Linked DNA regions of Xenopus tropicalis. The protein of the gene in region 5 interacts with the protein of the main gene of each other region in a pairwise test. Links are inferred from orthologs where the notes say so. Each region holds a gene or a part of one and is shown on either strand. Other genes may lie near its edges.

What was found.
Region 1: the proteins of gopc (region 5) and myocd interact in binary tests that used the Homo sapiens proteins (3 or more experiments, as listed by UniProt). The two-hybrid records come from large-scale screens. The link is inferred for Xenopus tropicalis from reciprocal best matches to the Homo sapiens genes GOPC and MYOCD.
Region 2: the proteins of gopc (region 5) and dpyd interact in a two-hybrid assay, tested with the Homo sapiens proteins (2 studies listed by BioGRID and IntAct). The link is inferred for Xenopus tropicalis from reciprocal best matches to the Homo sapiens genes GOPC and DPYD.
Region 3: the proteins of gopc (region 5) and rhoq interact in a two-hybrid assay, tested with the Homo sapiens proteins (2 studies listed by BioGRID). The link is inferred for Xenopus tropicalis from reciprocal best matches to the Homo sapiens genes GOPC and RHOQ.
Region 4: the proteins of gopc (region 5) and mylk interact in binary tests that used the Homo sapiens proteins (3 or more experiments, as listed by UniProt). The two-hybrid records come from large-scale screens. The link is inferred for Xenopus tropicalis from reciprocal best matches to the Homo sapiens genes GOPC and MYLK.
Region 6: the proteins of gopc (region 5) and cercam interact in a two-hybrid assay, tested with the Homo sapiens proteins (2 studies listed by BioGRID and IntAct). The two-hybrid records come from large-scale screens. The link is inferred for Xenopus tropicalis from reciprocal best matches to the Homo sapiens genes GOPC and CERCAM.
Region 7: the proteins of gopc (region 5) and fosl2 interact in a two-hybrid assay, tested with the Homo sapiens proteins (2 studies listed by BioGRID and IntAct). The two-hybrid records come from large-scale screens. The link is inferred for Xenopus tropicalis from reciprocal best matches to the Homo sapiens genes GOPC and FOSL2.

The regions. Positions count from the first base shown.
Region 1 is NC_030686.2:47,016,481-47,020,605, forward strand, and holds part of myocd (myocardin), read right to left. Parts: intron 2,885-4,125; exon of another isoform or gene 2,778-2,884; intron 938-2,777; coding exon 762-937; intron 1-761. UniProt on the Homo sapiens protein: Smooth muscle cells (SM) and cardiac muscle cells-specific transcriptional factor which uses the canonical single or multiple CArG boxes DNA sequence. Acts as a cofactor of serum response factor (SRF) with the potential to modulate SRF-target genes.
Region 2 is NC_030680.2:102,292,808-102,297,344, forward strand, and holds the end of dpyd (dihydropyrimidine dehydrogenase [NADP(+)]), read right to left. Parts: intron 3,372-4,537; coding exon 3,231-3,371; intron 2,057-3,230; coding exon 1,886-2,056; 3' UTR 901-1,885; downstream 1-900.
Region 3 is NC_030681.2:19,933,410-19,938,141, reverse strand, and holds the start of rhoq (rho-related GTP-binding protein RhoQ), read right to left. Parts: upstream 3,298-4,732; 5' UTR 2,082-3,297; coding exon 1,940-2,081; intron 1-1,939. UniProt on the Homo sapiens protein: Plasma membrane-associated small GTPase which cycles between an active GTP-bound and an inactive GDP-bound state. In active state binds to a variety of effector proteins to regulate cellular responses. Involved in epithelial cell polarization processes.
Region 4 is NC_030685.2:88,421,353-88,426,147, forward strand, and holds the start of mylk (myosin light chain kinase, smooth muscle), read left to right. Parts: upstream 1-1,755; 5' UTR 1,756-2,270; coding exon 2,271-3,105; intron 3,106-4,795. UniProt on the Homo sapiens protein: Calcium/calmodulin-dependent myosin light chain kinase implicated in smooth muscle contraction via phosphorylation of myosin light chains (MLC). Also regulates actin-myosin interaction through a non-kinase activity.
Region 5 is NC_030681.2:74,163,361-74,167,925, forward strand, and holds the start of gopc (Golgi-associated PDZ and coiled-coil motif-containing protein), read left to right. Parts: upstream 1-1,532; 5' UTR 1,533-1,636; coding exon 1,637-1,888; intron 1,889-4,565.
Region 6 is NC_030684.2:25,849,095-25,852,302, forward strand, and holds the end of cercam (inactive glycosyltransferase 25 family member 3), read left to right. Parts: intron 1-240; coding exon 241-373; intron 374-858; coding exon 859-986; intron 987-1,774; coding exon 1,775-1,978; intron 1,979-2,116; coding exon 2,117-2,354; 3' UTR 2,355-2,606; downstream 2,607-3,208. UniProt on the Homo sapiens protein: Probable cell adhesion protein involved in leukocyte transmigration across the blood-brain barrier. Does not express any beta-galactosyltransferase activity in vitro.
Region 7 is NC_030681.2:5,731,114-5,735,665, forward strand, and holds the start of fosl2 (fos-related antigen 2), read left to right. Parts: upstream 1-1,370; 5' UTR 1,371-1,562; intron 1,563-3,138; 5' UTR 3,139-3,184; coding exon 3,185-3,295; intron 3,296-4,552.

The DNA.
Region 1 (4,125 bases), on a different chromosome or scaffold from region 5:
AGGACTGCTGCTTACAATGGGGGGATCAGATAGGATCTGTGCCACTGTGACAGAATGCTCTGTTATACAGATAGCTAGAATCTCAGCCATAAAGCAGGGCAGGACTGCTGCTTACAATGGGGGGGGGGGGGGGATCAGATAGGATCTGTGGCCACTGCGACAGAATGCTCTGTTATACAGATAGCTAGAATCTCAGCCATAAAGCAGGACAGGACTGCTGCTTACAATGGGGGGATCAGATAGGATCTGTGCCACTGTGACAGAATGCTCTGTTATACAGATAGCTAGAATCTCAGCCATAAAGCAGGGCAGGACTGCTGCTTACAATGGGGGGATCAGATAGGATCTGTGCCACTGTGACAGAATGCTCTGTTATACAGATAGCTAGAATCTCAGCCATAAAGCAGGGCAGGACTGCTGCTTACAATGGGGGGATCAGATAGGATCTGTGCCACTGTGACAGAATGCTCTGTTATACAGATAGCTAGAATCTCAGCCATAAAGCAGGGCAGGACTGCTGCTTACAATGGGGGGGGGGGGGGGGATCAGATAGGATCTGTGCCACTGCGACAGAATGCTCTGTTATACAGATAGCTAGAATCTCAGCCATAAAGCAGGGCAGGACTGCTGCTTACAATGGGGGGGATCAGATAGGATCTGTGCCACTGTGACAGAATGCTCTGTTATACAGATAGCTAGAATCTCAGCCATAAAGCAGGGCAGGACTGCTGCTTACAGTGGATAGGCCTTACAGATCTTACCTGTGTTAGACCTGAGTGAAGGGAGTTGAGGGGCTCCAAATCTTTGGTCTCCTGGAGAGATTGGTTGAGCACCTGGGGGTTCTCGCTCGGCTCCTTTGCTGGAGACAAGGCATCATTGCTGCTGTCCTCTTCAAAGGCAAAGGCATCCACAGATTTGGAGAAGTTCATCTGATTTCCTACATGAGTCAAAGAAAGAGAGAGATGTTATTACCGGTTACTGTCACCGGACAAAACACTGAGAAGATGCCTGGAAAATTCATTTCAACTCTATTTAAATGGGAAATTCCAAGATTTGGGACTGTCCCTCTAAACTGAGAAAAATAGAGGGATATTGTCAATATATATTTATATATGTAGGAAAGCCAAACGTTCAGGGCCCTGTAGCCACCTAAAAGGAGGAACTGCAGGTATGGTAGGGCAAGACAGTAGGGCAAGATGGAGACAGTAGGGCAAGATGGAGACAGTAGGGCAAGATGGAGACAGCAGGGCAAGATGGAGACAGTAGGGCAAGATGGAGACAGTAGGGCAAGAGGGAGAAAGTAGGGAAAGATGGAGACAGTAGGGCAAAATGGAGACATTAGGACAAGATGGCGATAGTTGGACAAGATGGAGACAGTAGGGCAAGATGGAGACAGTAGGACAAGATGGAGACAGTAGAGATAAGATGGGACAGTAGGGCAAGATGGAGGCAGTAGGGAAAGAGGGAGACAGTGGGGCAAGAAGGAGACAGTAGGGCAAGATGGAGACAGTAGGACAAGATGGAGGCAGTAGGGCAAGATAGAGGCAGTAGGGCAAGAAGGCAAGATGGAGGCAGTAGGGCAAGATGGAGACAGTAGGGCAAGATGGAGACAGTAGGGCAAGATGGAGACAGTAGGGCAAGGTGGAGACAGTAGGACAAGATGGAGACAGTAGAGACAGGTGGAGACAGAGACAGGTGCAGGCAGTAGGGCAAGATGGAGACAGTAGGACAAGATGGAGGCAGTAGGGAAAGAGAGAGACAGTGGGGCAAGAAGGAGACAGTGGGGCAAGATGGAGACAGTAGGACAAGATGGAGGCAGTAGGGAAAGAGAGAGACAGTGGGGCAAGAAGGAGACGGTAGAACAAGATGGAGACAGTAGGGCAAGATGGAGGCAGTAGGGCAAGATGGAGGCAGTAGGGCAAGATGGAGGCAGTAGGGCAAGATGGAGACAGTAGGACAAGGTGGAGACAGTAGGGCAAGATGGAGACAGTAGGACAAGATGGAGACAGTAGGGCAAGATGGAGACAGTAGGGCAAGATGGAGGCAGTAGGGCAAGATGGAGACAGTAGGACAAGATGGAGACAGTAGGACAAGATGGAGACAGTAGGACAAGATGGAGACAGTAGGGCAAGATGGAGACAGTAGGACAAGGTGGAGACAGTAGGACAAGGTGGAGACAGTAGAGACAGGTGCAGGCAGTAGGGCAAGATGGAGACAGTAGGGCAAGATGGAGACAGTAGGACAAGATGGAGACAGTAGGGCAAGATGGAGACAGTAGGGCAAGATGGAGACAGTAGGACAAGGTGGAGACAGTAGGACAAGGTGGAGACAGTAGAGACAGGTGCAGGAAGTAGGACAAGATGGAGACAATGGTGGAGTAGATACAATTCACACTACAGCCTTTCAGTTGTTTTGGATGTCGCGGGTTGTAGAGTTGTAGTTAAACAACAGGCACAGTCATTATTTACACAACCAGTGGACCCCAACCCAATGAAACAGAGCCCCGGGGGGGGGGGGTTAAGCACATATCCATACGCCCTGTCCCAATGAAATATTACACAGATGATGCCAGACTCCCGCTCTCCCAACTTTCCACTCATTTATTTCTTTTATGTGCTGTGACGGCAATTTCTGGAAAGTGGCTGTGACACGCGTTAAACCCAACAACTGGCGAGCGGCACGGGGGAACAGACACAAGGAAAGAGATATATTTATATATGTGTAGCCAGGAAAGTATATATTGTGGGTTTATTGTATTTACATAATTCCTCTTTTAGTTTCAGGTATAAAGGGCAAGTTACAATGATACTGTCGGCTGAAGGAAACAAGACTACTATGGGATCCCTTATCCAGAAACCCGTTATCCAGAAAGCCCGTCTCCCATAGACTCCATTTTAATCAAATAATTCAGAATTTTAAAACAGATTTACTTTTTCTCTGTAATAATAAAACAGTACCTGTACTTGATCCCAACTAAGATATAATTACCCCTTATTGGGGGCAGAACAGCCCTATTGGGTTTATTTAATGGTTAAATGATTCCCTTTTCTCTGTAATAATAAAACAGTACCTGTACTTGATCCCAACTAAGATATAATTACCCCTTATTGGGGGCAGAACAGCCCTATTGGGTTTATTTAATGGTTAAATGATTCCCTTTTCTCTGTAATAATAAAACAGTACCTGTACTTGATCCCAACTAAGATATAATTACCCCTTATTGGGGCAGAACAGCCCTATTGGGTTTATTTCATGGTTAAATGATTCCCTTTTCTCTGTAATAATAAAACAGTACCTGTACTTGATCCCAACTAAGATAAAAATAATCCTTATTGGATGTAAAACAATCCCATAGAGTTTAATTAATGTTTTATTGATTCTTTAGTAGACCTAAGTTATGGAGATCCAAATCACGGAAAGACCCCTTATCTGGAATACCCTTTGTCCCGAGCATTCTGGATAACAGGTCCTATACCTGTATAATTTATCTCTAATTGCCCTTTATCTCTGTGGATATTCGTGCTGTGCCCTTGATACCCTTCCAATCGCAAACATTTTTTTCTTTGGGTTTATATCCCCTTTACAAAAACCACAATGTGACTGTGGCCCAGTGAAGTGTCCCGGCTGAGTGGGGGGGGGGATCTTATTTCCGTCTGCGACACGTTCGGGGCACGGGGTGTTATCTGTCCCAGTACCGATATAGTCAGAATGTGACAGCGCCTCTTGACCCGCTGCCGGGACTGATTAGTTAAAGTGCCCCAGAGACTGTCACTTGGATATCACCAAGCACAAGTGGGGCAGATAAATAACCCCCCCTCCCCACCCCCGCATCTGGCTTCTATCAGCCTGTGCCTGATAACTGACTGATTAACAGTTTATAGGAGAGGACTAATGACATGGGTTGTACATGGGTCCTGGTTCCAAAGCAACTGGCCCTTCTCTTATCTAATGTTGCTAAAGGCAAACTAACCCTGAGCTTTTTATTCACGTGGAAATTCAGCATTGTGTCTAGAAAGCCATCCATGGGACGACCAATCTAGTCAGGAGAGGCCAAGCCACCAAGTGAGGGCTACCGGGGCAGGAGAATGAAACCTTAGTAGTAACTGGGCCCTCCCAAGCTGTAGA
Region 2 (4,537 bases), on a different chromosome or scaffold from region 5:
GTATATTAACAAATACCCAATGTTAATAAGCAGGACTATTCCCAACATCCCATTAGGACTCCATGTGCCAGTCATCATATTACACTCATGATCATCACTCGTGATCATAACCAAAACATTAGCACTAGCAATTTGTACCCAAAACACACTCTAGCCAGCATCGGATTTCTCATTCCACACCCCCTCCACCCCCCTCAGGATCACGCATGCGGAAAGGATGCAGATTAAGTTTTCTGCGTGTCCTGTTCCCAGTGCTCCATATGTGAATAAATTTAGGTGCGGCGGGGCAGCATGCAGTCCCTAATTTTGTGCCGCCCTAGGCCCGGGCCCTTGCCACAAATCCGGGCCTGACTCTAGCACACATTGTGAAAGGACCTTCTTTAGTCCTTGTATCGGTTATTAGTTGTATTTTGTATGTAATCTGTATGTTCAGTTTATAACCCCTCCATTGTACAGCATTATGAAATATGTTGGTGCTTTCTAAATACTTCCTATTAATGACAAGTGCAGTATCAGCCATTTGGTCATAATTCAAAGAATTTCTATGCCAGAGAAAAAGAGCCAAAAGCTTACCACAACTGACCTTTCTGCTTGGCTTTCAGAAATGTCTAGGAAAGCGAATAGGCATTCTCCAGACTCTTTCAATATACTGGAACCATAATAAACAAGGGGTTATCCCCACTTCCCAAATGTCTAATAGAGATTCAGTGGTAGTGTTCATATGACTTTTTGTACAGATGTACAGCATATGCTTAAGTCAGATTGGATTAGAAGTATATAAAGCCAGTGGGAATAGTTCCATCTCAGTACCAGTACAAGTTATTGTCTATATAGTGCCACATTTTTATCCCTGGACACCGATGTCCCTTGATAATGGATAAAAACAAAACAAAACACATATAAGGCTTGATAGTTTTAATTATTTCAGAATTTTTTAAAGCTATTGAAAACACTCCATTGATTACATAGCATATTTTTATCCCCAAACCATACCGTGCAGCTTTGTATGTAATTATATATTAACCAGATTCCCATAATAAACAAACATATGTATTGAAACTTCTCAGATTAAATATCTCCTACACTAAAACAAATTTAAGGTGATGGTCTTTAATTGGTGAGAGACAAATGCAGACTACTCTGCACTCTTTGCTTTTGCCAATTTTGTATGCAGACAGTAATTCACTTTAATGTTAATTATTGTTAATTGAATAAAACCAATGCAATTAAACAACACAGAGAATATAGCAGATTAAGTATTTTCTACTTCAGTACAAACAAGGAAAAAAAATGTCCAGTATTTTTTCTGCTTGCTCTAAAGGGTTAATAGTTCTGAATTATACAGGGTCCATTATGAGCACTAATGTACGAAGGCTTAAGAAATACATTATGTTTTATCAGTGGACACACTGCAGAAAGAACTTAATCCAGAGTTAAATCCCCACTATATGCCTATCGCCTGTTTACAAACCGTAATTCTTCCCCTAATTCTTTGTTTTTCATGCCACTAATTATGGCTCGTGGTTTCTGACTAAAAAGAAAATATGAAGAAATACAAGGCACTTTAATTGCATTATAAAACATTTGCTCTGTTATGTTATCATTTGTGCTGCATTAACCAACTTTATAAAAACTAGGAAACAATGGGTTATACTTTAAGGCACATAATGTAATGGCTCTATTGAAAAAGAGTTAATAAGATTTGTGAATATTAGAGCCAATTGCCGTTGGATTCCTGCATTGCTACATGGCCGGCATATACAAGTGTAATTAAAAAAACGCTATATTTCTATATTCTGATCTGATTTCACATAATGTACTATAATGAGATACTAAGTCAGCAGCAGTAGACATGAGATTCACATTAACCACTGAACTATTCACCTCAACAAACTGGATTAACAGTTAAGGGTAAGCCTCTCTTTGGTACATAAGGAGTTGTCCTGGCAACCATTTTGATGCAGTCAATAATGGGGCAGACACTAAGGCACAGGGTGCAGCCAGTGCAGCTGTCGGTGACAGTAGTCAGGTGAGTCTCAGGATCAAACTCAATAGCCTGATGGGAAAAATAAAATAAAGGTCATTTTAATAAAGGTCTTTTAAAAAGCAAGCGTGAATGTCATTATTTATTCATTTCAGAAGTAATTGATAGAAGACATAGGAAAAACACTAAGCAGCAATTCTAAATTCAAAAAGTAATGTCACCAAGAAATTGAATAGTATATTGTCAGTCTCATAAAATGTCAGGGTTTCTTATAGTATTAATAGTGAATTGACTATACTATTCTGCTGTTACTAGAAAGTGGTTACTATAGATAGCACTGGGGTCATAGATTCTATTCCAACCAAGGATCTAGCTGCAATGTCCTCTGTGTGGATTTCCTTTAACACTCCAAAAACCTAGAGGCAGGTTACCTGGCTCTTGATAAAAACTGATCATATTGTGTCACTATGTCACTAAGGCTTTCAGAGGAAAAAGTAAGGGTCAGTTGTTTAGGTGGGTGTGGGTCCTCTGCCTCAAGCTGCTCACCATGTTGATTTCTGCAGGATCATATGCCAGATATGGCCAGGGACATGCAAGGCTATATGTAATCAACACTACACATACAATAAAGTTCTGTATTGCAAATATGCTTCTGTTAAAGAAGTCTAACATAATCTCTAATAAACAAAAGGAATTCTGGGAATGAATTCCAAACAAACTCTTAGAAAATCCCATTTAAATGGATTTATCCCAGAATTCCTTTTGTTTATTTGTATCTGTATATGGAAGTCTCCTCAACCCTAATGATTTGTTTGTTTAACATAATCCCTATGATTTGAAGGAATCTATGGCAGCACAATTCAAATAGGCAAGACCTTGCTTTTGTGTAAACACTGCCTCAAAAAGAACACCCACTTTCAAGCAAGAAATAAGGGTCAGATTAACATACTTTGAATATTAAATGATTCTAAAAGTCAACCCATATAAGAACATTACATAAAATGTAACATTAAGCTCATTTATTGGGGGTGGGGTAGTTAACCCAGAATTTTAGGTTCAGCACAGATAGGTAAAATCCAGTGTATTTTTACCTAGTTCCATTAATGCCAATATATGGTGTATTTTTACACATTAATAAACATGAGCTTCGGTCTGTTGTTAAACATTGATTTATTAAACCTATATGTTCTACAGTATATAGATGCAATTTTTTAAATGCATTTATCCTTTATAAAAGTGAACTTACCTGGTATCCAGAATCATTGCAGGTCATATAACATTTGCCACAGTTTATGCACATTTCCTCATCAATCAGGGCTACAACTTGTTCTTGTATGTTCAATTGACTGTAAGATCCAATATATTGCAAAGCTCTTCCAATAACATCCTAAACAGCAAAAATACAGTCAAATGGTAAAGGGCTTCCCCACTACTTATCAGTTGCTTCAGACACTTTAAATATATGGTATTTCATAAAATGCAATTGAAACAACACACTCTTTAAGAACAATTACATTTGTGTAGGCACATTTTAATCCTTAGAGAATGGTGTAACATCTATATTTGCATTCATCAGTTTAACTGAAAGAAGAACTTACCTCTTAAAAACTTAACTATTAATTATTTATTTTGTAGATGAGTTTAATAAAAGCACTCATGTCCACAATCTGTCCTCGAAAATGAATGTATACATCTATATGATGCATTAAGTGGAAATAGTGATGAGCGAATCTGTCCCATTTCGCCAGAAAATTCGCGAATCTTTCAAAACATTCGCGAAACGGCAAAAATGTCGCACGTCAAAAAAAATTGTCGCCCGCGACTATTATTTTGACGCGGGCGACAATTTTTGAACGTGCTGCGAATTTTTCCGCAGCAAATTTTTTCATCCGCTTTGCGAAACAATCCACCAATGGCGAAACGCAGAAATTCGCTGCGAATCCATGCCTGGCGAAACATTTCGCCCATCACTAAGTGGAAATTGTGAGATGGAACATTTTGGTCTATCTAGGTCTATGTAATATAAATTTATATTTTAGTCATTTCTTGTTTCCCCCCTTCACAAACTAGGGACTATAGTTGTTCACTATGGCAATAGTAAGGGTAAAATCTGGAGCAGGCATTGAACTTTAACAGTTTTCTTGAAAAACAAATGCTAGCACCAAAGTTAAAATATTAAACGTAATAGTTATATGGAAAGACATATGGTTGATAACAATGAGTGAAATTTAAGTTTCGCACAGAAGAACACTTATAAACTCCAATGGCTGCAAAAAAAAAAGTTGCGTGGTAAAAAATAAGACGCCCATTGACTTCAATGTATTTTGTAAATTTTTGCCATTTTGATAATTCTTCAACAAAGTGAAATTGGACAGATACACCCATTACTAATTGGTTGACAATTAAGATACTGAAAGGTTATATCAATTGGCCAATGACACTGCAGTCACCATATGGCAAATCTTGGTACTCTAGGGGGCACATTTACTAACCCACGAATCCGAATTGGAAAAATTCCGATTGGAAAACGAACATTTTGCAACTTTTTCGTAT
Region 3 (4,732 bases), about 54 Mb from region 5:
CTGTGGGATTGTGTGTAAAGGCAAAATGAGGTTAGAGGGGGGGCAGTAACTCAGGGATACAGTGTTTAGTAAGCAGGGCCGGATTTCCCAATTGGCCGAACTGAGGCCGCCCCCGGTTGCATGCCCCCCCCCCCCGAGTGCGCATGTGTGCAGAGGGAGGCGGGGTTTGCGCGCTCACGCGAACAGCGGGTGAGGGGTGCGCGCATGCGCTGTAGGCCAAATCATGCATACGGAGCAGTGGGGAGAAGTCCCCAAGGTTTCTGCCGCCCTAGGCCTGGGCCTTTGTGGCCTTTCCACAAATCCGGGCCTGTTAGTAAGGCAAGATGAGGTTAGGGGAGGGGGCAGTAACTCAGGGATACAGTGTTTAGTAAGGCAACATGAGGTTAGGGGAGGGGGCAGTAACTCATGGATACAGTGTTTAGTAAGGCAACATGAGGTTAGGGGAGGGGGCAGTAAGGCAAAATGAGGTTAGGGGAGGGGGCAGTAAGGCAAAATGAGGTTAGGGGAAGGACTGTAACTGTAACTGTAGTAAGGCAAGATGAGATTTGGGGAGGGAACATTACCTGTGGGATAGAGTGTTTAGTAAGTCGAGAAGATGGTATTGGGGAAGGGGCTGTAACTGTAGGGACGGTGTGTAGAGTACAGCAGGTTGGGGTAACTACTCTTTATACTGGCCAGTGGGATAACTATAGGGGCAGCAGTCCCTGGTAAGAACCCACTGTTCCTCCATCTAACCTGCATCTTTGAAGGCAGAATGGGGATTGCAAAGGGGTGCCCCAAAATATTTGTTCAATTGGTCAATTGCCCCAGAACCACCAATAGGGAAACCCACCCTTGCCAATTAACACTTAAAGTGACACATATTCCACACAGATTATTTCTCTTTAACCTAAAGGGCAGTTTGGCCACCACAGTGCACTCTGGGTGTTTAAAACTTCTCCTTTGCATCTTTCATATCTTTCTGTTCTAATGCATGGGAAACATTTGTGTATGATAAATGAAGGGTGACGCCTAAGGAACACAGATATTAGTGTGTAAAAGTGGCCCCTCTCTGGTTTTAGCATGTTTTGATCACCTTCCTTTTTGCTGGAACCAGTCAGATCTCCCGATGTGGCACAGACATTAGGCAAATGTAGCACAGTCCCCGCTGACTGCCCCATGGCTCCCTTTGACTTCTATGGGAAATGCACTGATATGATGAGTCTACAGTGGGAGAATGTGGATAACACAGACCAAGCTACGGTTATAAAATCCCACCCAATTACTGTTTATAAGTAAGAATAACATGATATATTGTATAAAAGTATAAAGGGTAAGCATAAAAAAACTGTTCTGTAATTAAATATCTCTAAGCAAAATCCCCCGCAGGTGTCCAGATGAGCCCCCAGTGCTAAGTATGTGAGGCTGGCAGAGTTTCATGCACTTGTCCAACAGTTGCTTTGCTTACACTGCCCTATTATAGCATATTAATGCCTTCATATCAGAGCAGGGCAATGTACAATGAACCTACCTTCATAATAACCTCCCTAATGAACCACTGACCCTAATGAACCTGGCATCATTACAGGGTAGGCCAGAGCCTGGCATTCCTTATGCCCCTATATAAAACAATGGCCATGGGCAGCTGGCAGTGGCTAAGTGCCTGGCATTAGATGTCTATTGGAGCACTTTTCAGGGAACATGGTGCTGATCATGGGCAGACAATGGTTCTATTGTCCCAGTGGATGTGAGTGGCACTGGCAGGGGACAGTAGTGTCAGCTCCTGATTGCTAGGAAACCAACCACACAGCTCCCTGGCACTGAAACCATGGCAATAAGGAGCTTGCCAGTAATCTCCTTCCTAGAGGCAAACAGGCACCCCCCCCCCCCCAGATGGGGGGCTTTAACTCCACCATAGTGATGTGACTATGCTCCATGTACGTTAGAAAGTCCAACTTACCCGCATAGTGGTCAAACACAGTGGGCACATACTCCTCCGGGAAGGCATCATTGGCATAGCTCATAAGGAGGCAAGTTTTGCCCACTGCCCCATCTCCCACCACCACGCATTTCAGCATGCTATTCCCTGTCCCATTCGCCATGATAACAGGAGGCTCATCTCCCCGGCATGCTGTGGGCGGCAGACTGCTGGGGGGGACTGGGCACCGCAGCGCATCTCCCCTCCTTCTCCCACAGTCAGTGAGTGAGCGACTCGGCCGAGTCCGGGAGGGATACAGCCTGTACAGTCAGCGACTGTCTCCTCCGAGTCTGGAAGTGATAACAAAGTGACTCCTTCAGCAGTGATGCAACTGATCCGACTCCTCCAGCAGCGACACAATGTCACAAAGTAGCGCAGTGATACTATGTAAGCGACCCCTCCGGCAGTGATACTATGTAGGCGACCCCTCCGGCAGTGATACTATGTAGGCGACCCCTCCGGCAGTGATACTATGTAGGCGACCCCTCCGACAGTGATACTATGTAGGCGACCCCTCTGACAGTGATACTATGTAGGCGACCCCTCCGGCAGTGATACTATGTAGGCGACCCCTCCGGCAGTGATACTATGTAGGCGACCCCTCCGACAGTGATACTATGTAGGCGACCCCTCTGACAGTGATACTATGTAGGCGACCCCTCCGACAGTGATACTATGTAGGCGACCCCTCCGGCAGTGATACTATGTAGGCGACCCCTCCGACAGTGATACTATGTAGGCGACCCCTCCGGCAGTGATATTATGTAGGCGACCCCTCCGGCAGTGATACTATGTAGGCGACCCTTCCGGTAGTGATACTATGTAGGCGACCCCTCCGGCAGTGATACTATGTAGGCGACCCCTCCGGCAGTGATACTATGTAGGCGACCCCTCCGGCAGTGATACTATGTAGGCGACCCCTCCGCAGTTATACAATGGAAGAGACCCCTCCAGGAGTAATGCACCGTCTCAAAGTGGCTCCTCCAGCAGTCAGACTACTGAAAAGACCCCCTCCAGCAGCGATTCCACTAAAGAGACCCCCCTAGCAGCGCTACTAAGCAAAAGACCCCTTTCCCAGCGATACAATGTAGAAAGAAACCCTTCCCAGCACTGATACAACGTTCCTTGGAAGTGGAAAGCGGAACCTGGGGTCACAGCACTGCCGGCTGCCAGTCCCGACTCAGCACTCCTGGGGAGCTGCTCATATCTGCAATGACATCTGATTTCCTCTTAAAATGTACAGATTTCAAAACTGTTAAGTTCTTCCCTCCCCCCAACTTCAGAGGGCACATCACTTTCCGGCTGTGCAGTCTCAGCCTAGCTTGGCTGGGGGGGTAGGGATGAGAGAGGCTGCTAATGATGGGAGGCTAAGGGAGCGTCTCCAAAGAGCTTGATTCCAAACATAAGGAAGAGTCTTATAAGGGTTCTGCCTGTCCCCTCCCTTGCACTCAGCTCAGGGGCACAACATACCCAGTGGCTGCAATGAAAAATGAAAAGTCACATTAAACATGTATTTTCCCAGTCATGATTAAATGATATAGATGTGAGAAAATTAGTTGAAGAGAGGAGTTCAGGGGATTTAAGGGGTTAAGAGTACAAGTAGAACCCCTGGGTGGCCAAGATTTAGTGAACTCTATCCAAGGACTGTTATATATATATTTATATATAGTTTATTGAGAGTGGGCCCTTGATGTCTGGCTCTTTGGCCCTATTGTCCTCTTGGCAGTTGCAACAGCTGCAGGGCTGAAAGTTGGACATGCATGATTTATTTTATTTACTTGATATCAGAATCAGACAGGTTTCCTGCATTGCCAGGGGCACCGAGGCCCCATTTTCACTAACCACAACCCTGGCAGAAGGTTTACATTTAAATATATAATGGGAAGACATTTTGAGAATGACAAGGAAGAGGAACACTGATGATATGGCAAGCGATTTAGTTGCAGATTACTTAGTACCAAGGCCTTTGAACAAGGTCAAGAAGCTTTAGAACCACACCAGTACCCACTGTCTGGAAGGGTTAGAGCAGGGATCCCCAACCTTTTATACCTGTGAGCCACATTTAAATGGAAAATGTTTTGGAGAGTAACACAAGCATGAAAAAAGTTTCTGGAGTTGCCAATGAGAGCTTGGTACTTGGTAGCCCCTATGTGGACTGGAAGCCTACAGAAGGCTCTGTTTGGCAATTACACTGGGTCTTATGCAATCAAAGCTTGCCTACTAACCAGAAATCCAAAAATAAGCACCTACTTTGAGGCCACTGGGAGCAACATCCAAGGGGGTTGGGGAGCAACATGTTGCTCACGAACCATTGGTTGGGGACCACTGGATTACGGTGACCATACACATATTGATTGGTTCCCCCCCGACCTAGTTGGTAGCTTATGGGCCCATGTATAGTGACCACTGACCATGCTGCTGGACTGATTGGGTAGGTCTAAAAATCACAACAGATGAGGCCCATGTTGGTACATTGATGTGGCCATTGTCCACTGCATAATCTGATCCTTGGTCCCAGGGTCAACAGTCGGATCAGCCTGGTTTGGTCCAGTGCCTGGGTGGTCAAATTGGACTCCACTCATTTGGTGCCCACCCCTTGCCAACTTTAGTGACACACTGAGAGGCAGGAACAGTGTTGGACTGGCCCACCAGAATACCAGGAAAACTCCCGGGGGGCCCAGGGGTCAGTGGGCTCTCCTGCTCCTGACCATTTGGCCTATTTCATGGTACAGTATTTCAAGAATGGGAAGAAAGAGAAGAAATAGATGTAAGAAT
Region 4 (4,795 bases), on a different chromosome or scaffold from region 5:
AATTTAAAAACGTCTGACCAAAGTGGTCCATGACTGTCAGCGCCTGCTCTGTCTCTCCATGCTCACCCCACAAGCTCTCACAGCATCCTACAAATTGTACTCTCACCCCCCAGCTCTCTTACTCTAATGGTGTACCCGAGTCTCTCCACGCTACCCGCTTAGAGGCTGCTACGTCTCTCCCCTATGTGTCGAGTGATTAGAGAATTTCTGCCACAGTGTGAGGGTTCCGGTTAACCGTGTACTCCCTCTGTATGCGTGCTGTGAAGTTACATTCTGATTATAACAAGGAAGAAGATGAATACAGCCAAGCGATGGGGCTCGATTACTCCTCATGTCGAGACAATCGGGATACTTTTTCGCATTCCCCCTCAGAGATATACAGCGACTTGGGACGTGTGCTAGTAACACTCACGGGCCGACTTACTACCTGCCGACCGTTTGGCCAGAACCGGGCTCACGGGAGAAAAACGTCGCTCGTCGGGCCACACGTAAAACTCTCTCTGTGTGCTCGAATGTGGTTTATATATTCTTCAACTGTCATATTCTGTCTATCTGCCCGCCGGGCACTACTTGCCCGCACAATATTGATCCAATATCTTGCACTCTAGACTTCAACCGTGTCTCTTTATTCATTGGGCCAGAGGAGCCATGTGACCCTATTAATGTAAACCATTCCGTGTTGTCTCCTTGTTTTGGGTCTGAGAGGAAGAACCGTGAATCGCAGAGTAAGATACTCCTGGGTACACCGCCTCTTGAATTGTCTCAGTGGCTCCTCTACTCAACTGGTGAACTTGCCCCTATGCATGTCGCGAAAGCCGCCAGGGCGTCACATATGATGGAGCAGGCAAACAGGTTCGTGGGCAAATAGGAGGTTAAGGACAGAGAGTTATGGTTAGAGGAGTTAAACTGTTGGGGATGCGCCTATAATGGGTACTAAGCGGTGGGCATCGCGTATGAGTAGTGTTACTACTAGGGGGGTATAAGTATACGGGCTACAGCTCGGCCCCCGCCTAGAGCTGAGTAATCAGGAGGGGTATTATCGTGGTGGTACAGTCTGGACTGGCACGTATGAAGGGTTTATAAGGAAGGGTTATATGGGTACATGCGAGCTAAACGAGTGGATATGTAATGGTGTTGTGAAGGTGTAGTGAAGGAGTGTACAAGCGTGAGTCTCATTTTTGGGCAAGTGAAGTTATATATTCTAGGCGGGGTGGGTCATAGGGTATCGCCGCCCGGTCTTATGGTGGTTTGCGCGGCAATAGAGTTATATAGGCCATGGGTCCGGTATCCATAAGTACTTTTGGGCGGAATTGGGAGTTGACTCATTGGTGGGAGAGGGTATGGGTATTATTTCGGAAAGAAGGCCATAGTAGTATCATAGGTGAAGGGCTCTTATGGGGTACTATTGGCGCGCGCTTAATAGAGTTCTAGCACTATGGTGCAGGAGTAGCTCTGGAGGTATATGCGCCTCGATCGTACTTTGTGGTCTCGGGGCTGGATATAGTTGTTATAATTTGGGAGGGGTGGGTATATGGTGATCTTATATAGTGTGGGGCAAATAGAGTTACTACTAGATAGAGGTAGCGTATAGGAAAGGATGGTATATTAGCAAGCAGTGCGGAGTAATAACTAGTGGAAGGACAATAGTGGCTAGGGTACAGGTGATGGATTCTGGCCATTTGATGGGCACTTTTGGGGTTGCTCAGTCCCGTCAGGTGTGGCGTTTTCTGTGTCCGGCTTGCTAGCCGCCCCCGAGAAGGCCGAGTACATTCCCGACAACCAGGAGCCCAGAACCCAAACCTGTCGCCACTAATGGCCTCAATGAAAGAGGTTCCGGATCCTCCCACGGAACCAAAGCTTCGCACATAGAGAAACCGGACGTGTCCCCCGTCGGGATCCCCGGAACCCCTTCCAACAAGCCGGTGTCCATTTCCAACACGGACCCGTCGCCCCCCTCTCGGGCCGTTCCCAACAGTTTCTCTTCAGATCCGCCCAGGGGATCCAGCAGGATCTCTCCTTCCCTCCCGGCCCCCGGCACAAAGCAAGGCAAGGAGCCCCCACCTGTAACCTCCCGTTACACCTCCACTATCCAACCCAAAGTTAGACTGCCTCTGTCTTCTAAAGAGACGCCCCCCACCACAAAAGCGACCGCACCTTTCCCAGACAAAGAGACATCCTCTCTATCCCCCGTAGACTCATGCCCTGTTTCCGCTAAAGAGACATCTCCTGTGGCGTCACGGACCTCCAGTAACATTGACTCTAAAATACAGATGTTTTTATCGAAGGATAAAACCAGCGCCAAAGAACCTCCTTATCTTGGGGTGTCGGTTCTAGACTCCAAGAACAAGAGCGTTCCACCAAAAGGCCCCGGAGACATCATCCAAAAAGAGCCACTTGGACGGACCCCGCGGGAACCCACCCAGGAGTTTATAAGAGATTCCCCATCTGATGGTTTCACAAAAGAGACGTCTTCCAAAAAGTTGCCTTCTGTAATGAACAGAGAGACCTCGTTCTTGTCGGCACGGGAGCGGATAATGGGGCCCACTATAAAGTCGCCTTACGGTTCTGCTAAGACTTTAGGGAACCCGGCTTCTCTGTATGAAATGTCTAAAGAGACCCGTTCAGATGTCCCTTCTAGACAGATATCGAACGTGACCCTCAGCGAGAGCTTGAAGCCAAAAGAGACCGCAGAATTTAGTTCTACGCAGTCTTTTCCCAAATCTAGAGAATCTCAATCTAGACTCCATGGTACTACAAGCAGCACCCTGTTGGGATCGAGCACCCAGCAGCACCCAGATACCCCACAGCGTACAGCCGAGACCTCGCCAGATGGTGGGGAGGTAAAACGCCAGAAGACCGCCTCCAGTACCATCACCCTGAAGTCTGTCAAGATAGAAACCCAACCCAAGTCTGAGATAAGTCATGGTGGGACCAGGCACAACCAGCAGTCACTTCCCTTGGGCCGGGAGGGGTCTCATTCACACCCGGGGTTGTCGGACACAAAAGAAACCTTGAGCAGAAGCCTTGGAACTGCCCCCGGCTTCGACCTGAGTCCCTCAAGCCAAGAGGTGCCGGAGGGCAGCGAAGTGATATTCAGGTGCAAAGGTATCTGTTTCACTGTAAAGGGGAAATATTCCTTGTATTAAAGGCAGAGTGTATTTTAATAAACATCCCCGGGTGCAGAGTTCTTCTCCTCTCTACTTCCTCCTCTTGGGCTGCTCTCTTCCCAGTGGTCGGATGGGGAGGGACCAAACTGAGAAGCAAGTTGTCATTGGGGTTTATAGCAGCTTGATGTTGCTGTGGCCACTAGAGGGTGCTCTTGCTTCACAGCACTTTTGTACATTGTTTTCCCTGATTACTATCAATCAGACCAATGGGAACCTTTCATCCATGTCCAAGCCCCGCCCCCCTGCCTGACCGTGGCAAGAGAGCAGCCCAGATGGAACATATGTATTGTATCAGATCTCTGTATATAGTAAAGTACTGGGAGAGACTGGGTTCATAGTGGCATAAATACAAAACCCAAAACTGTAGGAATCCGTTTGCTCTTGTGTGTGTTTTTTGAACCAGTAAGTAAAGAGAAAATTCTATAATATTATGTTTGTAGAATTTATTGGCCAAACTGAATAAAATGAATAAGCAGGAATCTCAGCCATAAAGCAGGGCAGGACTGCTGCTTACAATGGGGGGGGGGATCAGATAGGATCTGTGCCACTGTGACAGAATGCTCTGTTATACAGATAGCTAGAATCTCAGCCATAAAGCAGGGCAGGACTGCTGCTTACAATGGGGGGGATCAGATAGGATCTGTGCCACTGTGACAGAATGCTCTGTTATACAGATAGCTAGAATCTCAGCCATAAAGCAGGGCAGGACTGCTGCTTACAATGGGGGGGATAGGATCTGTGCCACTGTGACAGAATGCTCTGTTATACAGATAGCTAGAATCTCAGCCATAAAGCAGGGCAGGACTGCTGCTTACAATGGGGGGGATCAGATAGGATCTGTGCCACTGTGACAGAATGCTCTGTTATACAGATAGCTAGAATCTCAGCCATAAAGCAGGGCAGGGACTGCTGCTTACAATGGGGGAATCAGATAGGATCTGTGCCACTGTGACAGAATGCTCTGTTATACAGATAGCTAGAATCTCAGCCATAAAGCAGGGCAGGACTGCTGCTTACAATGGGGGGATCAGATAGGATCTGTGCCACTGTGACAGAATGCTCTGTTATACAGATAGCTAGAATCTCAGCCATAAAGCAGGGCAGGACTGCTGCTTACAATGGGGGGATCAGATAGGATCTGTGCCACTGTGACAGAATGCTCTGTTATACAGATAGCTAGAATCTCAGCCATAAAGCAGGGCAGGACTGCTGCTTACAATGGGGGGATCAGATAGGATCTGTGCCACTGTGACAGAATGCTCTGTTATACAGATAGCTAGAATCTCAGCCATAAAGCAGGGCAGGACTGCTGCTTACAATGGGGGGATCAGATAGGATCTGTGCCACTGTGACAGAATGCTCTGTTATACAGATAGCTAGAATCTCAGCCATAAAGCAGGGCAGGACTGCTGCTTACAATGGGGGGATCAGATAGGATCTGTGCCACTGTGACAGAATGCTCTGTTATACAGATAGCTAGAATCTCAGCCATAAAGGGTCCCTGCAGTTCTACCTGTGCAGCAGCACTTGGGGGGTTAATACTGGCAGCGCTGGGTTTGGATCAGATTCAGTACTGTAGGTGCCCGGGGGTTCAATATTCGGCAGGTCTCTCCCATGATTCCTCCCTA
Region 5 (4,565 bases):
AGTCGCGACAAGATACGAGCGAATCGTAATGGCTACGAAAAACTCGCGTTTTTTCGCGAAAATGGTATTGGTAACGAAAAAGTTGCGACAATTTCCGAAAAGTCGCAAAGGCGCCGAAAAAATCGCAAAAAATACGAAAAAGCCGCAAAATGTTCGTTTTCCAATTGGAATTTTTCCAATTCGGATTCGAATTCGTGTCTTTGTAAATCAGCCCCATAGACAACGGAGCTGAGCTGGTCACACACTGGCTGAAAGCAGAAGGGGCGTTGCAGGTCTGTGATTGGGCATATTTATTTACTTGGGAGGCATTTAAATTAAAACCTGGAAGAGGGGAACAAACATGGCTGCTCCGTGGGTCTGTAATTCGTGCAAAAAACTTTTATAAGGAATTTAAAGCCGATACAAATTAAAACACAACAGCAGGTGTAAAAAAAAAAATTAATTGGCTGTCAGTATCACTTTAATATTTAATTTAGACTACAGCTCGACAGATGTCGGACATTATCTTTTGCATAGTCTTGTTTTCCGGAGGCATTAAAAATGAAGTACTGTATTTAATCTGCTATAAATTTGGTTTGTGTAGAGTCACGATTACACAAACATTGTATTATTGTCTGTCATATGCAGTTAATTTGTGTTCACTTTTTAGGTTATTTTATTTGATCAGCACAAACAGGACAGTCCGTGAATTCGCCAAACGTGGAAAATAGAGCGCAACACCGCACAGGATTGACCCACTGAAAGGATTACACCTGGATGTTGTGTAATGGGAAGCCATTGGGACCCAATTGAAAATGTACAGCAGGTGACAAATGCTGCTTTCAGTTGCAGTTCACTTTACAAATAATAGTGTTTAATGAAAGTACGTTTGGACATTTGTCCAAATTAGATTTTCTTTTAAGTGGATTTGCATTGCAGGATTTGAAAATGCTTTCAGTATAACAATAGAATGGGGATGATAAAAAGAAATAAGCCTTACACAGTAAAAACGTTTTGGAACAGCTCGCATAATAGAACTTAAACCCTTTGAACCCGGGTTCAAAACATCATCTACACTTGTGCTTAAAAACACACGGACAATTGCACTCTACGTTCTACCGGAAGGCCAAACTAGCAATTCCCAAGCAATCAGTAACAACAACCAGTTCACGTGACTGCCGCTGCTCAATTACCATTACTTTCTAGCATCGCTTGGTTCTGCCTGCTGCCGTCAGTTGTGGCAGGCAAGAAAAGTTGACCGCCTATACGCGCTTCTGTTTGTGGCAAATTCATAGTTCCAAATCACAAATTCCTGCCAAACACAATAAAAGCAGTCTAACATTAGTTATTGAGACTCGATCTGGAATTTATGGAGGAACGTACGTGTCTATATATACTGTCTCTAGGTGCGCGAAATGTAAACACCCAGTATCGTTTAATCCCCCTCTCAATAGGAAGCGTTTTAGATGTCACGTGTACTGTATCTAACAAATCGGCGTATTTGGATGACCAGATAGGTGAGGTTTTCGTGACGTTCCCATGGCTTAGCCAATCGGAGGAGAGTCTTGCCTCGCCAGGCCAGCCAATCAGAGAGTGGAGTAATCAAGTGACATTCTCCCTTTTTCTTCCTGTCTGTCGGTTATACGTCTGCTCCGCAATGTCTGCAGCTCCGTGCTCGACCTCTGCCTCCGGGCCTGTTCCCGGCATGTCGATGTTTCGCTGGCTTGAAGTGCTGGAGAAAGAGTTTGATAAGGCCTTTGTGGATGTTGACTTGTTGCTAGGGGAGATAGACCCGGACCAGGCAGATATCACATATGAGGGTCGACAGAAGATGACCACCCTAAGCTCTTGTTTCGCACAACTTTGTCACAAAGCACAGACTGTCAGCCAGATCAACCATAAACTGGAGGTACGCGTAGTGAGTGGATATGTGAAACCCAAATTCTGTTGGGGAGAGAATGGGGTTGCTGCGTAATATGGAAATATGAGAAATCGGTCAAATGGAGAAAGAGGGAAATAACGAATTAATATTGGAAAGACATAGGGCTTGGAATGCATGAAAAGAAAGCTAGGCTACATAGTAGTTAGTTGGCTGATGGAGTACACAGGAGAGATGGAGGAGGATGCAGAGCATAGAAGATTAGGTGTACAGAGTGGTGGGATTGCATTTAAGTCTAAAGGAATTAGGAAAACTGGTATTGAAATATTGGATTAGATATAATGAGAGAGATGGAGGATAGGAGAAGCTATAATGAGAAAGTCGGAGTAAATTTATTGAGAAATAGATATGATAAAAAAAAAGTTGGGGAACTGGAGTAGGTATAATGATAAAGCTGGTGAATTGGAGAAGATATATCAAGAAAGCTGGAAAAGATATAATTAAAAAGTTAAAGGGATGGAGTAGATATAATATTAACAAGTAAGATGTTTGGAGTAAATATAATATTAAAAAGTTGGAGGAGATATAATGAGAATGTTGGAGGGTTGGAGTAGATATAATGAGAAAGTTAAAGGGTTGGAATAGATATAATGAGAAAGTTAAAGGGTTGGAATAGATATAATGAGAAAGTTAAAGGGTTGGAATAGATATAATGATTAAGCAGGAGAAGTGGAGTAGATATAATGAGGTTCAAGTAAATATGTTATATATTTAGGAGGTTGCTCTGTAAGGGCCATGACACACAGTCGCGCCACAACAAATCTCTTTTGTTGCGGGCGACTAATCTCCCTGCAATGCCATCCCACCGGCTAGAATGTAAATTGCCGGTGGGATGGCATACGCGGTGCTGGGATTTGCCAAAGTTGCCTTGAGAGGAAACTTCAGCGACTTCGGCAAATCGCAGCGTCGCATATGCCGTCCCACCAGCGATTTACATTCTAGCCGGTGGGATGGCATTGCAGGGAGATTATTCGCCCGCGACAACGGAGATTTGTCGCAGCTACAGTTTTATTGTTATTGCTACTTTTTATGAAAAAAAAATTCTATCCTGGTTCTCTCCTAATCATATATCAGTATCTCATTTAAACCACTCCCTGGTTGCTAAGTAAATGTGGACCCTAGCAACCAGATAGTTTCTGAAATTCCAAACTGGAGAACTGCTAAAAAACACAAATAATAAAAAATTAAGACCAGCTGCAAATTGTCTCAGAATAGCACTCTCTACATCATACTAAAAGTTAACTTCGAGGTGAACAACCCCTTTAATGGAATAGATATTTTTTTAAAAAATGGTGCGTTCAAATTACCCAGAAAGTTGGAGTAGATATATTGAGAAAGTTGGAGGATTGGACTGAGGTAGATATAATAAGAAAGTTGGTGGATTGGAATAGATGTTGAAAAATGAGAAAGTTGAAGGGCTGGAATAGATATGAGAAAGTTGGAGAATTGGAGTAGATACAATGAGAAAGTTGAAGGGTTAGACTAGATATAATTAAGTTGAGGGTAAAGTCGTAGCTATAATGAGAAAGTTGGAGTAGATATGAGAAATTCAAAGGGTTGTAGTAGATACAGTGAGAAAGTGGGAGGACTGAAGTAGCTATAACCAAAAAGCTGGAGAACTAGAGGAATGACAGAAAAAGACAATGTAGTAATATTTCTGGCAATCATGTCACAAAGATTTGATGGAAAATCACTATTTGGCAGTGTCTTCAAAGGTGGGATAAATTACTCTGTGCTTACCCACTATCAGCTAGGGACAGTCGTAGTGCAAGCTAACAACCTCCTCTTCAATGTTGTAAATGGGTAACTGAATGCAAAGTTTAATTTATGCAAGTAGAGTACAATGCTAAGAACTCTTATAAAATGATTGTAGCTACCTTTCCCTTTAAGAATGGGTCCTAATGCTCCTAAATAACTGCTCCTAAATAACAGGTACTAAGGACCTTTCAGAGGATTGTTAAAGCAGTTCCTCTGGGCTGGCACTCACAGTAATTGCTATAGTAACTGCCTGGGTTTAGGCAGTGGATCAGGGGGTGGTTTTGTCCCTTCACTTCAAGTTAGAGCTTTTGTGCTGCCACCCTGCTTTTCTTAGATTCACGTGGGCATTCGACTACCCTTTCCTGTACTCTTCCTGTCAAGATGGAGTTTTTTCTCCAGCAGCTTTTTTTTTTTTTTTTTTTTTGGTGCTGTCAAAGGGGATTTCCACTGCCTGTTCTTTAATTTTCACAGCTTTCTTCCAGCCTCAATGTTAGCCATATTTGTAGCACTTCTTTTGCCACAGAACCCAGGTGCAGTTTTACAGGGAACCTTGTATACACTGCAGGGAACGCATTTAACCCTACAAATGCAAGTAGGAAGGTCGGTAATGCAAGTTTTCACCCATGCCCTAGGTGTCTGCATTTATAACTTACTTAGGCTCTAAAAGTGGTAGTTCTGCAGATTGGAAAAGGATTGCTTATACATAAGAATTAGGCAGGGAAAAGTGTGGAAGACTGCTTGTATGTATGGAAAGGGTAACGAAATTAAAGAAGGAATTATTATTTTTACTTAGAGTGGAGGGCATAGTTGAAGGAAGATGGCTTATACATATGCAGTAGTTTGTATTCGGACCATAGTCTGTTTGTATATGATAGGCACCTTTGATTAT
Region 6 (3,208 bases), on a different chromosome or scaffold from region 5:
GATGTTTGTATCATTTATTATTAAACAAAATGTTATGTGTGTATTAGTGACGTCTCTGCAACAAGCCAAGCCTCATTCAAGAATGTGGGCGGCGCTTGTTTATATACTTATGTTTTCCTTGCCCCCTCCAATGACTTCAGTATAGGGGCAGATGCAGGAATATCAGTTGTCATGGTGGGCCAGGTTGTATATTTTCTTACTCTTTAATTGCCCTGTAAACTCTTCTTTGATCTGTCCTAGTGCCATGAACAGCAGTGACATAAAGCACCTGGGTGTCAACCTGCTCCCTGGATACTATGACCCGTTCTCGGGCCGAACACTTACCAAGGGGGAAGTTGGCTGCTTCCTTAGCCATTTCCAGATCTGGAAAGAGGTAAAACAATGCCCCTTCAAGGAATTTGAAAACACTGTCCCCTCTTGACTTGGGTTTGTACTTTGTGCTTTATGTGGTTGGGAAGAACGTGTTTCTGAAAGCTGCAGTTGACTTGTATTGTTCAGGCAAGGACAGACATTGGCTGCTAAGTCACGCCCATAACAAAAGATCCGCTTATTTGGCAACCTCGCTAGTGATGTGTGTGCCAGTCTGAAACCTGGGGGACCCTTGGGTTAGGGCCGCAACCTTACTATGCCCGGCTTTGGCAGCCTCTATTTATAGACACACCCCTGCCAGCCCTGCCACCTTTGTGACATCAAAAATGGGCAGATTGAGCGTGAGTCTATAAAAACAGGTGCCTTGTTGGGTTGGGAGAGGGCGGTTTAGGGTTGGTGCAGGTTGACAAAAAACAAGCGCCCCCTCTTACAGACTGGTCATTTAAAGTATTGCTGTTTATTTTAACGTGATTGGTTTTTCACCCCTAGATCACAGAGCGGCAGCTGGATACAGCAGTCGTTTTTGAGGATGATGTGCGTTTCCAACCATTCTTCAAGCGGAAGATGATTCGCCTTATGGGGGATATTCGCAGTGCAGAGCTGGACTGGGATTTGATGTAAGGGTGTAGTGATCACAATGCAAGAGCTTATGGGTACTGGCACATGGTAAATCTGTGCTACTGTGGGCAACAAAACACACAAAAAAAATGCCTTCACTTACCTTCAGATGCGCAAGAAAGAAAAACAGATAAGCTCTGTAGAATACAATGGGTTTAGTTCTTATTCAGAAAAATAAACAGGGATCAAATGCCATTCATGGCTCACTGTGGGACTACAGAATGGAAACCTCTCTCGTACAGAATATTTGTTGCCAAGAAATGTATGGTTAATAGTTAGTTTTGGGCATTGCACCTATGACTTCACTTATGTGAGCCAGTAGATACATCATCTTGGAAAATGTAGCCAATGTAGTCCAGTAGGACATCACAAACCATGGAAAACATGACCATCTGATCAGCAGTTATATGGGCCAGTAGACTCATAAAACCCTGAAGATGGTGGCCAAAATACAAATTAGGCACCAATCTTGGAAAGTGGTGATGGTGGCACCAGTGGTCAAGTGGTGCAAGGTTACATGGACAGATTATTTTATGTTGGATATACTGATCACGGGCACTTTCACTAACAATAGAAGTCAGCGGTGGAAAGCCCTTAGCATTGCTTCTTTGCGCAAAGTTGCCTGCAGGAGGAAACTGAATACCAGAGCAATGCAAAGGGCTTTCCATCGGTGACTCCTATTGTTGCCAGTGGAAAACCATTTCACAGAGGTTAGTCCTGATTGACTGAACCACTGTGTGGGTTCTTAGCCTTATAAATCACTGTGACAGGTTTCTCCTTTCTTTAGTTACATAGGGAGGAAGCAAGTGACCTTGGACCCAGAACAGCCAGTGGAAAACGTGCCGCACTTAGTGGTTGCCGATTACTCCTATTGGACCTTGTGCTACATCATCTCCTTGCAGGGTGCCCAGAAGCTGCTGAACGCAGAACCGCTCTCCAAAATGCTCCCAGTGGATGAGTTTCTGCCAATCATGTCTGACACACATCCCAAGTAGGTATCCTCTGAAGAGCTCAGGTTGCCATGTTTAGCCCAGTTCATTACCCTTACATTATAAAGAGCTATTTGTGTGTGTGTATCTATATTATCCTGACCTGTTTACCCCACCCCTTCTCTGTTCTGTACCCTCAGTAAGGAGTACAAGCAACACTTTGTGAACAGAAACCTGCGTGTGTTTTCTGTTCATCCCCTTCTCGTTTACCCAACTCATTACACTGGGGAGACCAGCTGGCAGAGTGATACGGAAACCTCCACCCTTTGGGACAACGATAATGTAAGAACAGACTGGAGCGGGTCGCAGAAGACCCTGAAGGACACAAGGGGAGATTCGCACCCAGTGCTACACCCTGCATCGCATGATGAGCTGTGACAATGAGAAGTTAGGGTTAATAATCACAGAGACATGTGACCTCGTATTGCAATGCAAAAAATTTTTATTAGGACTCTGGTTGGCAGAGAGACTGCTTTGCTTTGGCTGTCATTTTAAGCAGTAAGTTGCCTAAGTGGCACAGCAGGGAAGCAATGTGTTGCCATAGTTGTTGACACAAAAATTGGTGCTACAAAAAATGTGTAATGTATTTTCTGCACTTTGAATTTATAGAGTAAATGTTTTTCTAACTGAGCCATGATTGCAATTGTTTTCAGGCTCTATCAAACTTCGAATCACTCATTGGATAAGTAGCTTGAATGTGGCCAATTTCACTTTCTTTCAGTTGAGGCTCCTTAGCTCCAAAGATGCTTTCTGTGCACCTAGGTCTTTAGCTCTGAGCCAGCCTCCTGGGCACCTGGGTCTTTAGCTCTGAGCCAGCCTCCTGGGTACCTGGGCCTTTAGCTCTGAGCCAGCCTCCTGGGCACCTGGGTCTTTAGCTCTGAACCATCCTCCTGGGCACATGGGCCTTTAGCTCTGAGCCAGCCTCCTGGGTACCTGGGCCTTTAGCTCTGAGCCAGCCTCCTGGGCACCTGGGCCTTTAGCTCTGAGCCAGCCTCCTGGGTACCTGGGCCTTTAGCTCTGAGCCAGCCTCCTGGGTACCTGGGCCTTTAGCTCTGAGCCAGCCTCCTGGGCACCTGGGCCTTTAGCTCTGAGCCAGCCTCCTGGGTACCTGGGTCTTTAGCTCTGAGCCAGCCTCCTGGGTACCTGGGTCTTTAGCTCTGAGCCAGCCTCCTGGGTACCTGGGTCTTTAGCTCTGAGCCAGCCTCCTGGGAACATGGGTCTTTAGCTCTGAG
Region 7 (4,552 bases), about 68 Mb from region 5:
CAGGATAAATATACCCCTTAGCCATACCCCCCCATATTGTCTTTCTATCAGTACTTACTGGGGGGGGGGTTAGTAATTACTGGGGGGGTTTAACCCCCACCTTCAGATTCAGGATATTACTCACTGTATTCCCCTACCCACCATGTATTGCCAAAGGCCCATTTGAAGCCTCAATACTAAGCGCTACAATGGCCCGTAGTACGGAGCCCCCACCTTCCCAAGCCCAGCAGGTGCTCCGAGCCAGCCAGGGAATCCCTCCCGCACACGTCACTCCAACCAAGGGAACCCGCTTGCGTCACTGCCCATATATGGCTGCTACTTGCGTCAATGGAGCGAACCAAGCGCTTGGCAGGGGAGCCAACAGCTGGGATAGTCCAATAGTGCGGGGGGGGCAGAGCTGAGCGGGCAGGTCGGGGCAAGTGGAAGAAAGAGGTGAGAGCGCAGGGTAACACCCCCCCCGGCCTGGTACTGCCCCACTCTCCGCAGGAAACAAGGGCGGCCACGCCCCGGGGGAGGAGCCTGAGTCGCATTGGGAGCGCTGGTAGCTCAGTCAGTGATCAGAGTGACTCCGGTCTGACTCACCCAGCGCAGCTCCAGCGGCAGTGTCATCGGCGCTGTACAGTGTGCCCTGTGCCGTACTGACAGATCTGCCCAGTCAGAAGTGCGACTTCCAGCCCAGCCGGGGGGATCAGAGGAGCCGGCAGTGTGCCCTGTGCCGTACAGCTGGGAGTGCAACTAGTGCAGGACACATGGAATAGCAGCACAGCCTGCAGTGTACCTAGCGCTGTACAATCGGAATAACTAAGAGTACCTAGCGCTGTACAATCGGAATAACTAAGAGTACCTAGCGCTGTACAATCGGAATAACTAAGAGTACCTAGCGCTGTACAATCGGAATAACTAAGTGTACCTAGCGCTGTACAATCGGAATAACTAAGTGTACCTAGCGCTGTACAATCGGAATAACTAAGAGTACCTAGCGCTGTACAATCGGAATAACTAAGAGTACCTAGCGCTGTACAATCGGAATAACTAAGAGTACCTAGCGCTGTACAATCGGAATAACTAAGAGTACCTAGCGCTGTACAATCGGAATAACTAAGAGTACCTAGCGCTGTACAATCGGGATAACTAAGAGTACCTAGCGCTGTACAATCGGAATAACTAAGAGTACCTAGCGCTGTACAATCGGAATAACTAAGAGTACCTAGCGCTGTACAATCGGGATAACTAAGAGTACCTAGCGCTGTACAATCGGGATAACTAAGAGTACCTAGCGCTGTACAATCGGAATAACTAAGAGTACCTAGCGCTGTACAATCGGGATAACTAAGAGTACCTAGCGCTGTACAATCGGGATAACTAAGAGTACCTAGCGCTGTACAATCGGGATAACTAAGAGTACCTGGGGCAGGACACTTGGATCGGCAGCACAGCCGGCAGCGCACCCAGCACCCTATGGGAGAGAGATCGCACTGACAGCACCCATTGGATTACAGGGCCGGGCCTGGCACTTTATATCTATTCGCCCCACTGGGCGCCCGCTGAGTTGGATTAACAAGGTGGGGGCATCTCTTGCCAGGGTATCAGCGGGTATATGTCTTATGGATCAGCGGGTATACGGCGTGGGGGGGTGATCCGACAGAAAGCAATTATATGGAGAAGTGTCCCAATGTAGGATATGGAGACATGGCACAGTGGGTATGGGGGCACAGTGGGTATGGGGGCACAGTGGGTATGGGGGCACAGTGGGTATGGGGGCACAGTGAGTATGGGGGCACAGTGAGTATGGGGGCACAGTGAGTATGGAGGCACAGTGGGTATGGGGGCACAGTGAGTATGGAGGCACAGTGGGTATGGGGGCACAGTGGGTATGGGGGCACAGTGAGTATGGAGGCACAGTGGGTATGGGGGCACAGTGAGTATGGGGGCACAGTGGGTATGGGGGCACAGTGAGTATGGGGGCACAGTGAGTATGGAGGCACAGTGGGTATGGGGGCACAGTGAGTATGGAGGCACAGTGGGTATGGGGGCACAGTCGCACACATTGCACTGGGTATATGGGTAAATTGTGGGTATATGAGAGGGTATAGAGGGTATATGACACACAGTATAGTGGGTATATGGGCACACAGTACATTGGGTATATGGGCACACAGTATAGAGGGTATATGGCACACAGTATAGAGGGTATATGGGCACACAGTACAGAGGGTATATGGGCACACAGTATAGAGGGTATATGGGCACACAGTATAGTGGGTATATGGGCACACAGTATAGAGGGTATATGGGCACACAGTATAGAGGGTATATGGGCACACGGTATAGAGGGTATATGGGCACACAGTATAGAGGGTATATGGGCACAGGGTACAGAGGGTATATGGGCACACAGTATAGAGGGTATATGGGCACAGGGTACAGAGGGTATATGGGCACACGGTATAGAGGGTATATGGGCACACAGTATAGAGGGTATATGGGCACAGGGTACAGAGGGTATATGGGCACAGGGTACAGCGGGTATATGGGCACAGGGTACAGAGGGTATATGGGCACAGGGTACAGAGGGTATGTGGGCACACAGTATAGAGGGTATATGGGCACACAGTATAGAGGGTATATGGGCACAGAGTACACAGGGTATATGGGCACAGGGTACAGAGGGTATATGGGCACACAGTACAGAGGGTATATGGGCACAGGGTACAGAGGGTATATGGGCACACAGTACAGAGGGTATATGGGCACACAGTACAGAGGGTATATGGGCACAGGGTACAGAGGGTATATGGGCACACAGTACAGAGGGTATATGGGCACAGGGTACAGAGGGTATATGGGCACACAGTATAGAGGGTATATGGGCACACAGTACAGAGGGTATATGGGCACACAGTACAGAGGGTATATGGGCACAGGGTACAGAGGGTATATGGGCACAGGGTACAGAGGGTATATGGGCACACAGTATAGAGGGTATATGGGCACACAGTACAGAGGGTATATGGGCACAGGGTACAGAGGGTATATGGGCACAGGGTACAGAGGGTATATGGGCACAGGGTACAGTGGGTATATGGGCACACATTGGGTGCCAGTGTCTGATTGCCTTTCCGTATGTGTTTTTTGAAGATTGGACCCCGGCAGCCTCCCACCCTGTGAGTTCAGAGCTCAGATCATGTACCAGGATTATCCAGGGAATTTCGACAGCTCCTCCCGTGGCAGCAGCAGCTCCCCAGCCCAGCCTGAGGGTTACCCCAGCAGCACCTTATCTACCTCCATCCTGCAGGTGAGGGTCACTCTCCCTTCCCATTTGCCCCCCCCCTTCTGTAATCTCTGCCTCTCCCTGTGTATTCCCTCCCCACTCCCAGAACATTCCTGCCTTTGTCCTCTGTATTACATGCCTGTGTCTGCTTTATCTTGTGTTACTGCCCCCTGTACTGCCCACTGTACTGCCCGCTGTACTGCCCACTGTACTGCCCCCTGTACTGCCCACTGTACTGCCCACTGTACTGCCCACTGTACTGCCCACTGTACTGCCCCCTGTACTGCCCACTGTACTGCCCCCTGTACTGCCCCCTGTACTGCCCCCTGTACTGCCCCCTGTACTGCCAACTGTACTGCCCCCTGTACTGCCCGCTGTACTGCCCACTGTACTGCCCACTGTACTGCCCGCTGTACTGCCCGCTGTACTGCCCCCTGTACTGCCCGCTGTACTGCCCGCTGTACTGCCCCCTGTACTGCCCACTGTACTGCCCCCTGTACTGCCCACTGTACTGCCCACTGTACTGCCCCCTGTACTGCCCCCTGTACTGCCCCCTGTACTGCCCACTGTACTGCCCCCTGTACTGCCCACTGTACTGCCCCCTGTACTGCCCACTGTACTGCCCGCTGCCCCCTGTACTGCCCTCTGCCCGCTGTACTGCCCACTGCCCTCTGCCCGCTGTGCTGCCCGCTGCCCTCTGTACTGCCCCCTGTACTGCCCGCTGCCCTCTGTACTGCCCGCTTCCCTCTGTACTGCCCCCTGTACTGCCCGCTGCCCTCTGTACTGCCCGCTTCCCTCTGTACTGCCCCCTGTACTGCCCTCTGCCCACTGTACTGCCCTCTGCCCACTGTACTCCCCGCTGCCCCCTGCCCTCTGTACTGCCCACTGAACTGCCCCCTGTACTGCCCTCTGCCCACTGTACTGCCCCCTGTACTCCCCGCTGCCCCCTGTACTGCCGCCCCCCCACCTACATTGTACAGTATTAGGGTGCAGTTTCTATGTACCCTGCCTGTTTAGCCTACACATACTATGGGGTGCCCTTTAGTAACCCCCCTACATACAACACTGGGGACCCAGGGCCCCTCCCAGCCCCTCTCCCCGAGCTGCTCACACTCTGCATTTTTGAATTTGGTTCTTGGGTTCTGAGCTGTCAGATGCTCTGCCTGTCATTGGCTGCCGCCGTCCCCTGTGACCTCCCTATGATTCATGGGTAGAAGTGTGTCGAGAGCACATGGTGAATTTAACCCCAGGATCCCCAGTGTGCGTGGAGTGTACATTACA